Macaca fascicularis: one gene and its partners. The protein of the gene in region 3 purifies or fractionates together with the protein of the main gene of each other region. This does not show direct contact. Links are inferred from orthologs where the notes say so. Each region holds a gene or a part of one and is shown on either strand. Other genes may lie near its edges. The genes, in order: tubulin alpha-1C chain, TLE2 and CCT6A.

Region 1 (2,888 bases), on a different chromosome or scaffold from region 3:
CAGGCTGAAGTGCAGTGGTGAGATCTCTGCAGTCGCCGCCTCCTGGGTTTGGGTTCAGGTGATTCTCATGCCTCAGCTTACCCCAAGTAGCTGGGACCTATAGGCGCACACCACCGTGCCTGGATAATTCTCGTATTTTTTCTTTTTTTTTTTTTTGGAGACGGAGTCTTGCTCTGTCGCCCAGGCTGGAGTGCAGTGGCTGGATCTCAGCTCACTGCAAGCTCTGCCTCCCGGGTTCACGCCATTCTCCTGCCTCAGCCTCCCGAGTGGCTGGGACTACAGGCGCCCGCCACCACGCCCGGCTAGTTTTTCGTATTTTAGTAGAGATGGGGTTTCACCGTGTTAGCCAGGATGGTCTCGATCTCCTGACCTGGTGATCCGCCCGTCTCGGCCTCCCAAAGTGCTGGGATTACAGGCTTGAGCCACCGCGCCCGGCTAATTCCCGTATTTTTAGTAGAGACGGGGTTTCAGCATGTGGCCAGGCTGGTCTTGAACTCCTGACCTCAGGTGATCCGCCCACCTTGGCCTCCCAAAGTGCTGGGATTACTGGTGTAAGCCAGCACCTGGCCAGAAACAACTGATTTCTTAACCTATCAGTAAAGTCTTGGTAACATTTCTAGCCTTTATTATTATGGTCTTCCCTCTCCCGGAGATGTTTTGATGGTGAAGGAAAAATGTTCTTCCTAACAGATTCTTCTGCATGGTTAAAAAGCTGCCTCTGACCACAGTTTTTAAAATACAGCTAACTGCTGCTTATCCAGCATTTTCTTCATGAGTCATATGGCTGTAGTTTGCTGGTTTAAGCTGGTTTTAAAGGAGGGAGGCAGAAGCTTTTGTCTCCCAAAGAATAGGATTAAAGCAGGACCAGAATGAGCTCAGTAGTTACACAATCATTCAGAGAATGAATCAGAGCTGGAAAGGGGAATTTTGCCTTAGTTTAAGGAATCATATCTACTGTGGCTACAAAGCAACGGTCTGGTCTTGCCGAGTAGTTCATGAACATATCTTTGGTTTTCCAAGGCATTTTTGCTGAATTAGGTCTTCAAAAATTTTTACTTTTGAAAGTAGTCCCTGAGCAGGAGTGGCCTGCTGAAAAATGGTTATCTTTTTTTGTTTGAGATGGAATCTCTGTCACTCAGGCTGGAGGGCAGTGGTGTGATCTCAGCTCATTGCAGCCTCCACCTCCTGGGTTCAAGTGATTCTCCTGCCTCAGTCTCCCAAGTAGCTGGGACTTACAGGTGTGTGCCACTATGCCCGGCTAATTTTTTTTTTGTATTTTTAGTAGAGACACAGTTTTGCCATGTTGGCCAGGCAGGTCTCGAACTCCTGACCTCAGGTGATCACCTGCCTCAGCCTCCCAAAGTACTGGGATTACAGGCGTGAGTCACTGCGCCCAGCCAGTTATCTGTCTTGAAGGTTAATCAGTCATTAGGTGTGAATCATTCCTAAATGTCCCATCTGATGTATCATATCCTGACATTTTCCTTTCTTCCTCCCACAGCGTGAGTGCATCTCCATCCATGTTGGCCAGGCTGGTGTCCAGATTGGCAATGCCTGCTGGGAGCTCTACTGCCTGGAACATGGCATCCAGCCTGATGGCCAGATGCCAAGTGACAAGACCATTGGGGGAGGAGATGATTCCTTCAACACCTTCTTCAGTGAGACGGGCGCTGGCAAGCATGTGCCCCGGGCCGTGTTTGTAGACCTAGAACCTACTGTCATTGGTGAGTTGACCTCAGTAACCGAAGTGAGATCCCAGGGTGCTGGGACAGGAGGTCTGTCCTGGGGGCTCCGCTAGTCACCCACTCACCCACTCTTTCCTTCTCCCCTGCTCCTCACCGTCATCTTCTCCAGATGAAGTTCGCACTGGCACCTACCGTCAGCTCTTCCACCCTGAGCAACTCATCACAGGCAAGGAAGATGCTGCCAATAACTATGCCCGAGGGCACTACACCATTGGCAAGGAGATCATTGACCTCGTGTTGGACCGAATTCGCAAGCTGGTAAATAAAGTGGGGCAAGAGTTTCTTTTGTGGTTCTGAGACCAAACTACAAAAATCATTCTTTGCAACTGAAATGAGACTATTGGCATTGCAACTAAAATGCGACTGCTCACTAAATTAATTGGATCTCTGAACCAGATGGTCTTGGGTTTATGGGATAACTATGGGGTAGGAGGAAGTGCTCATTAGCCTATTTTGATTCAAGCTGAGACACCCCTTTTGAGGTCATCTTAGTCACACTGAGTGAGTAGGTGGCTGACTTCTATATACAACTAATTGATTAAAGTCACTTAAAAAATCTGGACTGGTTCCTTCATGTCAATAAAGTTCAGAGAACAAGAAGCCAGTGTCACACTGACAAGAAACAGCCAACAGTGGAAACTTCCAGTACAGCTGAAAGTGGAGTCGGGAGCTTCCTTATGAAGTGTGCTGTTTGGATCACTTTAAGAGCCTGGCAATCAGATGACTCTTTGCTCCTTAGGCATGTGGGCAGCTTGTAAGTAATTAACCAGAGATCAAGCATGATGGCCTGGGCAGAGTAACTTGTCAAGAAAATCACATTGTATTAAGCCCAGCCATGACTGCTCCATTCTAAAAAAAAGAATGGCCTCATCATTCATGGCTTCATACTTTCCTCAAATGTTTACGTAGTCTTCCCAGAAAAACTGGACTGATGTTTCCTATGCTTAAAAACTAAGCTTTAGTTACAAGCACTGACTTGGAAATCAGGACCTGCCTTTAGGGACAAATAAACCTAGTAGCTAGTTAGGGTTCTGGAGTGAGGTTTATTGCCTGCCAAAATAATTGCATTTGTCCTTAGCATTACTGGGTTCACAGGAGGCTTAATGGGTGTAATTGGTAGGTGAGAGTCTGTCTTGTGCATTG
Region 2 (4,361 bases), on a different chromosome or scaffold from region 3:
TCCCAGACACCCCCGATAAGCAGGTTTCCTTTTGTTAATTTCTATCACTGCCCCCTAAACTCTTCCTCTGTCTATACAAATAGTCCCATAATTATCAAGCTGTGAACCTGCCTAGCCTGTCACTCACATCCCACAGACTCAGAGAGGGCAGGGATCTGTCTCCTTTATCCACCCTTAAAATCCCAGTGCCTGGAAGGATGCCTGGCACGTCGTAGGTGCTCCGTAAATATCTGTGGGCTGGAAAACGATGGCTTTAAATTTGATAAGGGCTTTTTTTTTTTTTTTTTTTGAGACAAGGTCGTGTTCTGTCACCCAGGCTGGAGTGCAGTGACGTGATCTCTACTCATCGCAGCCTCGACCTCCTGGGGCTCAGGTATCTCCCGCCTCAGCCCCCCAACTAGCTGGGACCACAGGTGTGCACCACCATGCCTGGCTAATTATTTTTTCATTTTTTTGGTAGAGATACAAAAAATGCAAACATTTATTTTGTATTGTCGCTGCGTTGTCCACACTGGTCTTGAACTCCTGGGCTCACACGATCCTCCCTCCTCAGCTTCCCAAAGTGCTGGGGCTACAGGCATGACCCACCACTCCTGGCCCATTGACCTGGCCCATTGATAAGGCTCTTGTGCCCATTACAAAATGGGTTTTTGTAACCCTAACCCTTAGGTACCTTAGGTATTCGTTCATCTAAGGGCACAGGTCCAAGCATGATCAAGGGGCATGGATTTTTCTCTGTTCTGTTTCCAGCTGTGCCCCAGTGTCTACTGCAGTGTGTGGTCCACAGTATGCACTCAGTACATGTTTGTTGATTGACTTAACGAACCTCTCCTGAGGTTTCTCCAGAGAGAATAAGAGCTTCCCACTCCCCAGGTGGGCCTGAAGGATGCTGGCTGGATGTCTGTGGTTTCTGGTCGGGGCTGGAGCCTTTGCCCTGGGTGAGACTTGAGTCTGATGGCAGAGCTGTGGTTCTTCCAGTTCTAAGTGGGACATGGCCCCTGCCTTCAAGAAACCCAGTGTGAGAAGGGAGACAGCGCAGTCCACTGGTGATGGCAGTAGGAATACAATTCCTATCTGTGGAAGTTTGCTCTGTGTAGGGAAATGCTGAGGGCGTTCATGCACCATTTCATTTAAGTGTAGTACCTAGTGCCGTGGCTCCCGCCTGTAATCCCAGCACTTTGGAAGGCGGAAGAGAGAGGAATGAGTCCAGGAGTTCAAGACCAGCCTGGGCAACATAGTGAGACGCTCCTGGTCATCTCTGCAAAAAATTGTAAAATTAGCTGGGCATGGTGGTGCACACCTGTAGTCCCAGCTACTCGAGAAGCTGAGGGGGAAGGATCGCTTGAGCCCAGGAGTTCGAGGCTGCGGTGAGCCATGATCGCCCCACTGTACTCCAGCCTGGGCAACATAGTGAGACCCTGTCTCTGCAAAAAATTAAACACTAAAGATCGCGCACCATCCCTGACCTTTTGCAGAGACTACTGAGGCCCCCAGAGGGTGAGGGCCCCGCCTGATCTGGGAAGCAGTGTTTGCTGTGAGATTCCCTTCCTGGCAGGGCTTCCTGCGAGCGCTTGGCAAGGCTGCGTCGTCCTGACCCTTCCATCTCAGCCCAATGTCACTTGCTCAGAAAAGCTATTTCCGACTCCAGAGGGGCCCCCGCCCTCCGCAAGCCCCCCCAACGGTGGGTAACACCATGTGAATTTCTTCACTGGTGTTTCTCCTCCCGCCCCTCCGGGAGGGGGTGGGGACCCCGTTTTGCGGCACTGGGCGCCTCCCCACTCGGCCTCAGTTTCCCCACAGGCCCAGGGACTGAAGGAAGGGGGCGGGTGCCCGGGGACCCGGACGCGCGGGCGCAGGGAGGGGCGGCGCGCGCGGGGGTGGGCGCGGGGCGGGCCGCGGGTGCGTGGGGGCGGCCGCGCCACCTTAAGGCGGCTCAGCCTGCGGCTCCCGGCCGAGCCCCGCCGGAGGGAGGCGGCTCCGCGCGGGGCCCGCCGCCCGCGCCGCCGCCGCCGAAACCCGGCCGCGGCGCGCCCGACCTTCTGCGCCGGCTGCCGCGGCCGCCCTCGCCGCGCCCCCGCCCCGTCCGCTGCTCCCGCCCGCCCCGCGCGCCCCGGCCCGGGGAGGGGCTCCCACGACCCCGGGCGCGCGCGCTTGGGGGCGCGCCAGGGACTCCAGGGTCCCTTGCCCCGCGCCGCCTCTCCCTCCTCCCTCTTTCTTCGGGCAGCCTCCCCCCCACCCCACTTCAGCCTCCCCCACTCTTGCCGCCTCCATATCATCAAGCTCTGGTGGCGCTTGGAGGGCTTCCGGGATCGGCAGGATGTACCCCCAGGGAAGGCACCCGGTGAGTGGGGGCTGCGGAGAGGGGGTCCCCGGTGTCCTGGAACTCAGACCCTGACGTCCCTCCCCAAACCCCCCCAGACCCCGCTCCAGTCCGGCCAGCCCTTCAAGTTCTCTATCTTGGAGATCTGCGACCGCATCAAAGAAGAATTCCAGTTTCTCCAGGCTCAGTACCACAGGTGAGGGGGGGCCGCCCCAGGGGCCGCGGGAGTTCACCTGGGCGCCGGGGCGGGGCGGGGCCTCCGGGGAGCAGGGCGGGGAGGAGGGGCTCCCAGGGCGCGGGAAAGGCCTCCAGGTGAAAGCGCAGGTGCAGAGGGGTCTGGGGACAGTCAGAGCTGGGGCATTGGGAGCCCAGGAAGGGGCGGGGAGGGACTGGGACAGGAGGTGCTGGGAGGTCTGTAAGGAAGTCGGGAGGGGGAGATCCAGCCCCTCACTTTGGAAGCCGGCCCACATGGGGCGGTTGGGAGCCCCTTGCCCTCTCTCTCCTTCCCAGCCTCAAGCTAGAATGTGAGAAGCTGGCCAGTGAGAAGACGGAAATGCAGCGACATTATGTCATGGTGAGGGCACTTATGATGCCAGGGTGCGGGGAGAGGCGGGCAGGGCTTTGAGCCACGGTGGACTCTGGGGTAGGTCCCTGCCCTTCTCCGAGCCTCGTCTTTCCTGTCTGTACATTGGGCGGCTTTGGGATTTCAGGGTCTCTCTCTCGGAGGGTCCACCCAGCTCTGGGAACAGGGAGACAGGGAGGACCTCTCGCCTGGTGGGGCCAGGGCCTCTGGACGCTTCCTACCTGCCCTGCCTGTCTGGGGAGAGTAGAGGGGGCCCTTCCAGGCAGAACCCCGGCTTTCTCCTCTGGGCTTCTCTTCTGAGACCCCGTGGAGCTGGGGGTGCTCTGCGTCCTGCTGTGATCCCCCGAACCTGGGGGGCTCTTGGAAGACCCTGGCATCACCTGACTGGAGGAGGGCACCCATCTCCACTGCAGAGGTTCTTACTTGGTTTTTCCTTTTCAGTATTATGAGATGTCTTATGGTCTCAACATTGAAATGCATAAGCAGGTAACTGGGTTGGTGTTAAGCGTGTTCAGGAGGGAGGATGGGGGTCTGGAAGCCCTGGGAGGGACCCAGTATGGGCAGCCGGGGCCAGAGCAGACCTAGGGAACACGGGTCTCATCCTGAAATCTCCTCAGAGGTCACAGAGGGCCTATCTGGGACCAGGAAGGCAAATTTCAGCCTCATGGAAGGAAAATGAGTCCCAACTTCTGAAGACAGTAGCCAGCAGTTGAAGCGTCCAGCAGAGAGGCAGGCAGCGGGCAGGGGCCACCAGGCATCCCCATCAAGGAGGGCACATAGCAGAGGCAGGGCAGCCAGGCCAGGGAGGCTGTGGAGGTGACTTCTGTCCCGGGAGGGGGCTGGATGAACACTCTTCGAGGTCCTTTTCAGCCCAGAGAGTCTGAAGTTTTGAGATGGACTCCAGGTTCTGTTCCTGCTTTGAAGCTTCTGAGATTGGTCTCAGTGTGATTGGCTAAGGTTCCGAGATTGTTCTCCAGGCCCTGAATTTGATGCCATGGTTCAGACTGTGACCCCACTTTTCCAAGACAGACCTCAAAACTCTGTGGCTATCTTCAGGGCTTTGAGACTGACCCCAGTGCCATAAGGCTCTGAGCCTCTTCCAGAGCTTCTCAGTGTGATCCAAGGTTCTGAGGTAGACCTCAAGGTTCTGAGATAGACCTCAAGGTTCTGAGATTGACCTCAGGGTTCTGAGATAGACTCAAATTTCTGAAATTGACCTGAGGGTTCTGAGATAGACCTCAAGATTCAGAGATTGACCTCAAGGTTCAGAGATAGACCTCAAGGTTCTGAGATAGACCTAGGGTTCTGAGATTGACCTCAGGGTTCTGAGATGGACTCAAATTTCTGAAATTGACTTCGGGTTCTGAGATGGACCTCAGGGTTCAGAGATAGACCTCAAGGTTCAGAGATTGACCTCAATGTTCAGAGATAGACCTCAGGGTTCTGAGATAGAACTCA
Region 3 (3,647 bases):
GGACAGGATTCGAGCTTAGTGAACTGTTAAATCTTAGGACTAAACCAGTTTCAGAAGCTACTTTCTTAGAATGTTTCCCTGTTTTCTGTAACCTTTTTTTTTTTCTTAATAGAGAAGTGAGTTCTGGCTTTTTTTACAAAAGTGCAGAAGAGAGAGAAAAACTCGTAAAAGCTGAAAGAAAATTCATTGAAGATAAAGTTAAAAAAATAATAGAACTGAAAAGGAAAGTCTGTGGTGATTCAGATAAAGGATTTGTTGTTATTAATCAAAAGGTGAGAATGAAAACCCAATGTATAAACTAAATAGTATGTATCATCCTTTTTGCTTTTAAGGTGAAAGATGTTGAAATTAATTTTTATTTTTGTTATAGGGAATTGACCCCTTTTCCTTAGATGCTCTTTCAAAAGAAGGCATAGTCGCTCTGCGCAGAGCTAAAAGGAGAAATATGGAGAGGTATCCGAGTAATTTGACTTTTACTCATTTTGCAAGTGAATTAGGATTATTTTTCCTTACAATTTATTTTCGGGTTTTTCAACTGTACAATGAATTGTCGTTAACTATATTCACATTGTGCACCCCGTCAGCACTGTCCATCTCTAGGACTTTCTTCATCATCACAAACTGAAACTGTATACCCATTAAATAATTACTCCCCATTTCTCCCTCCCCCTTGCCCCTTGTAAACATTATTTTACTTTTTGTCTCTGAATTCAGTATACTTTTTCCCAAAGAGCTCACCACAATAAGAAGCTTTTAAAAAATTTTTTTTATTTTATTGTTATTTTTTGAGACAGTCTTTCCGTGCTGTGCAATGGCATGATCTTGGTTCATTGCAACTTCCACTTCCTGGGTTCATAGGATTCTCAGCCTCCCGAGTAGCTGGGATTACAGGTGTCTGCCACCATGCTCACTGAATTGTTTTGTGTTTTTTTAGTAGAGATGGGATTTTGCTGTGTTAGCTAGGCTGTTCTCAAACTCCTGGCCTCAAGTGATCCGCCCACCTCAACCTCCCGAAGTGTTGGGATTACAGGTGTGAGCTACCATGCCTGGCTAATAAAGAGCTCTTGTCCACCTTTAGATTTCATTTGCTGACTTGGGGAGAGTGGTTTAAATGGAGGGTTAAGAGAAAATGCTAGTTTTCAGCTGGTTGATGGCAAATGGAAAGGCTTAGATTAAAGTACATTTTAAAATGTAATTTTGTGTGTAATTCTGGAAGATTCCTTCCTAAAAATTACTGGTCTTGTCTTTGAAATTCACTGGTAACATTGCTTATCCATCTCCCTTAAAATGCTATTTCAGGCTGACTCTTGCTTGTGGTGGGGTAGCCCTGAATTCTTTTGACGACCTAAGTCCTGACTGCTTGGGCCATGCAGGACTTGTGTATGAGTATACATTGGTAAGTGTATTTTCTTCTTCAAGGTAATAGAACCTTTTAGCTCATGAATTATTTTTGTTTGTGTGAGATGGGGTCTCACTCCTGCCCGGGCTGGAGTGCAGTGATGTGGTAACAGTTCACTGCAGCCTCATCTTCCTGGGTTCAAGTGATCCTCCCTCCTCAGGCTCCTGAGCAAATGGACCACAGACATGTGTGCTACCATGCCTGGCTAAATTTTTTTTTTTTTTTGGTAGTTTTTGTAGAAATAAGTTCATACTGTGTTGCCCAGGCTGGTCTTAAACTCCCGGGCTCAGGCTGTCCTTCACCCTCAGCCTCCCAAAGTGCTGAGATTACAGGCATGAGCCACTGTGTTCATGAAGTCTTGAGCAGAAAAATTAATTGAAATTCAGGATCAGATTTTTGTTTGGGGAAAATCCCATTTCTTTTATATGTGATTTTTCAAAAGGAGATAATTTGCTTTAATGTGATCAAGTTTATTCCTTATTAATATGCTGCTTGTCATTCTCTGTAAGTCCCTCTTCTGTCTTCACTCTCTGCACAAATCCTGTTTTTGAAAATCATATTTTTTCTACACATAGGGAGAAGAGAAGTTCACCTTTATTGAGAAATGTAACAACCCTCGTTCTGTCACATTATTGATCAAAGGACCAAACAAGCACACACTCACTCAGATCAAAGATGCAGTGAGGGATGGCTTGAGGGCTGTCAAAAATGCTATTGATGATGGTAAGATCCTCACTGTATTTCAATTCTATTATATTGTTTTGCTGGTCTGAAAGGCATGGCCGAATACTGTGTTCTTTTATCAGTAGTTTACACAGCCAGACACCATGCAAAAGCAGTCTTCCCTTTAGAATGACCAATGGTATGCTAAGGTTTTTCATAGCATATCATTATTAAAGGTGAATACAGATAAATGAAATAATACTGATCTGTTGAAAGAGCTGCCAGCGGCTAGTGAAGCCATTCTGTTGAAACATTCTCCTATTTGATATGTTAGTCGCTTGTATTTTGTCTTAGTAAATCTGTAAGAAATTAATGGCTTTCATATGTGTATTTTAGTTGTTGTTCATAATTAGTTCTGCAGTTTTCTTAGCATTTTTCCTTTTCCCCCATTCAACAGGCTGTGTGGTTCCAGGTGCTGGTGCTGTGGAAGTGGCAATGGCAGAAGCCCTGATTAAATATAAGCCCAGTGTAAAGGGCAGGGCACAGCTTGGAGTCCAAGCATTTGCTGATGCGTTGCTCATTATTCCCAAGGTGTGCACGCTTTTAACAGTCAATCTTCTAAAAGATTTAGCTGATCAAACCTTTTTGATAATGTAGGCTTTATTCATAATGTGGATTTTGGATAAGCCAAGTTTGATCAGTTTTCTTCCTGACTCTAGAACAGGTATTCCTCATCATCCAAATGTATTTGGTTTCTCTGGGAGGCCTGAATAACTGACGTTTCAGATAACAAGAGATAACCTGTAGTTTAATATTTGCAGTATTAGGGGTTATACTTGAGTACAAACTTGCTTTTTGCTTTTGTTTTAAACTGATACTATTTTCTATTATATACTAATTTTGAGGTATAATTTATGACTGGTATATTGCTGCTGGGTTTGAGGTAGATGAGAGAATTGATCAGTAACTTGTGTCTGGTTATTCTCTGAAGGAAGCATAAATGTTCTGTCTTCATGCAATGAGATTTTTTTGTTTGTTTGTTTTTTTGAGACGGAGTTTTGCTCTTATTGCCCAGGCTGGAGTGCAGTGGTGCGATCTCGGCTCACTGCAGCCTCAGCCTCTCAAGTAGCTGGGATTACAGGCACTTGCCACCACACCCAGCTAGGTTTTTGTGGGGTTTTTTTTTTTTTTTTTTTTTTTGTATTTTTAGTAGAGATGGGGTTCCACCATGTTGGCCAGGCTGGTCTCAAACTCCCGACTTCAGGTGATCCACCTGCCATGGCCTCCCAAAGTGCTGGGATTACAGGCATGAGCTACTGCACCAAGCTGAGATTTTCTTTTTCTTTTTTTTCTTATCTTTTTTTTTTTTTAAACAGTTATTCCTGTTTTCTCAAGAATTAAATTTGTTTACTTTAGGTTCTTGCTCAGAACTCTGGTTTTGACCTTCAGGAAACATTAGTTAAAATTCAAGCAGAACATTCAGAATCAGGTCAGCTTGTGGGTGTGGACCTGAACACAGGTAAGAGAATGCAACTGTTGTAGAGGGAAAACTAGATGTAATACATGTGAGTTGAAGCCAGGAAAG

Evidence for each region.
Region 1: the proteins of CCT6A (region 3) and tubulin alpha-1C chain purify together in Homo sapiens (affinity purification with mass spectrometry; 3 studies listed by BioGRID and IntAct, with this or other methods). This does not show direct contact. The link is inferred for Macaca fascicularis from reciprocal best matches to the Homo sapiens genes CCT6A and TUBA1C.
Region 2: the proteins of CCT6A (region 3) and TLE2 purify together in Homo sapiens (affinity purification with mass spectrometry; 3 studies listed by BioGRID and IntAct, with this or other methods). This does not show direct contact. The link is inferred for Macaca fascicularis from reciprocal best matches to the Homo sapiens genes CCT6A and TLE2.

Annotation. Positions count from the first base shown.
Region 1 is NC_088385.1:56,088,202-56,091,089, forward strand, and holds part of tubulin alpha-1C chain, read left to right. Parts: intron 1-1,501; coding exon 1,502-1,724; intron 1,725-1,854; coding exon 1,855-2,003; intron 2,004-2,888. UniProt on the Homo sapiens protein: Tubulin is the major constituent of microtubules, a cylinder consisting of laterally associated linear protofilaments composed of alpha- and beta-tubulin heterodimers.
Region 2 is NC_088393.1:3,729,731-3,734,091, reverse strand, and holds the start of TLE2 (transducin-like enhancer protein 2), read left to right. Parts: upstream 1-1,553; 5' UTR 1,554-1,681; intron 1,682-1,949; exon of another isoform or gene 1,950-2,280; 5' UTR 2,281-2,317; coding exon 2,318-2,341; intron 2,342-2,418; coding exon 2,419-2,516; intron 2,517-2,830; coding exon 2,831-2,894; intron 2,895-3,344; coding exon 3,345-3,389; intron 3,390-4,361.
Region 3 is NC_088377.1:74,153,706-74,157,352, forward strand, and holds part of CCT6A (T-complex protein 1 subunit zeta), read left to right. Parts: intron 1-112; coding exon 113-272; intron 273-370; coding exon 371-453; intron 454-1,299; coding exon 1,300-1,396; intron 1,397-1,974; coding exon 1,975-2,122; intron 2,123-2,175; exon of another isoform or gene 2,176-2,310; intron 2,311-2,519; coding exon 2,520-2,653; intron 2,654-3,478; coding exon 3,479-3,581; intron 3,582-3,647. UniProt on the Homo sapiens protein: Component of the chaperonin-containing T-complex (TRiC), a molecular chaperone complex that assists the folding of actin, tubulin and other proteins upon ATP hydrolysis.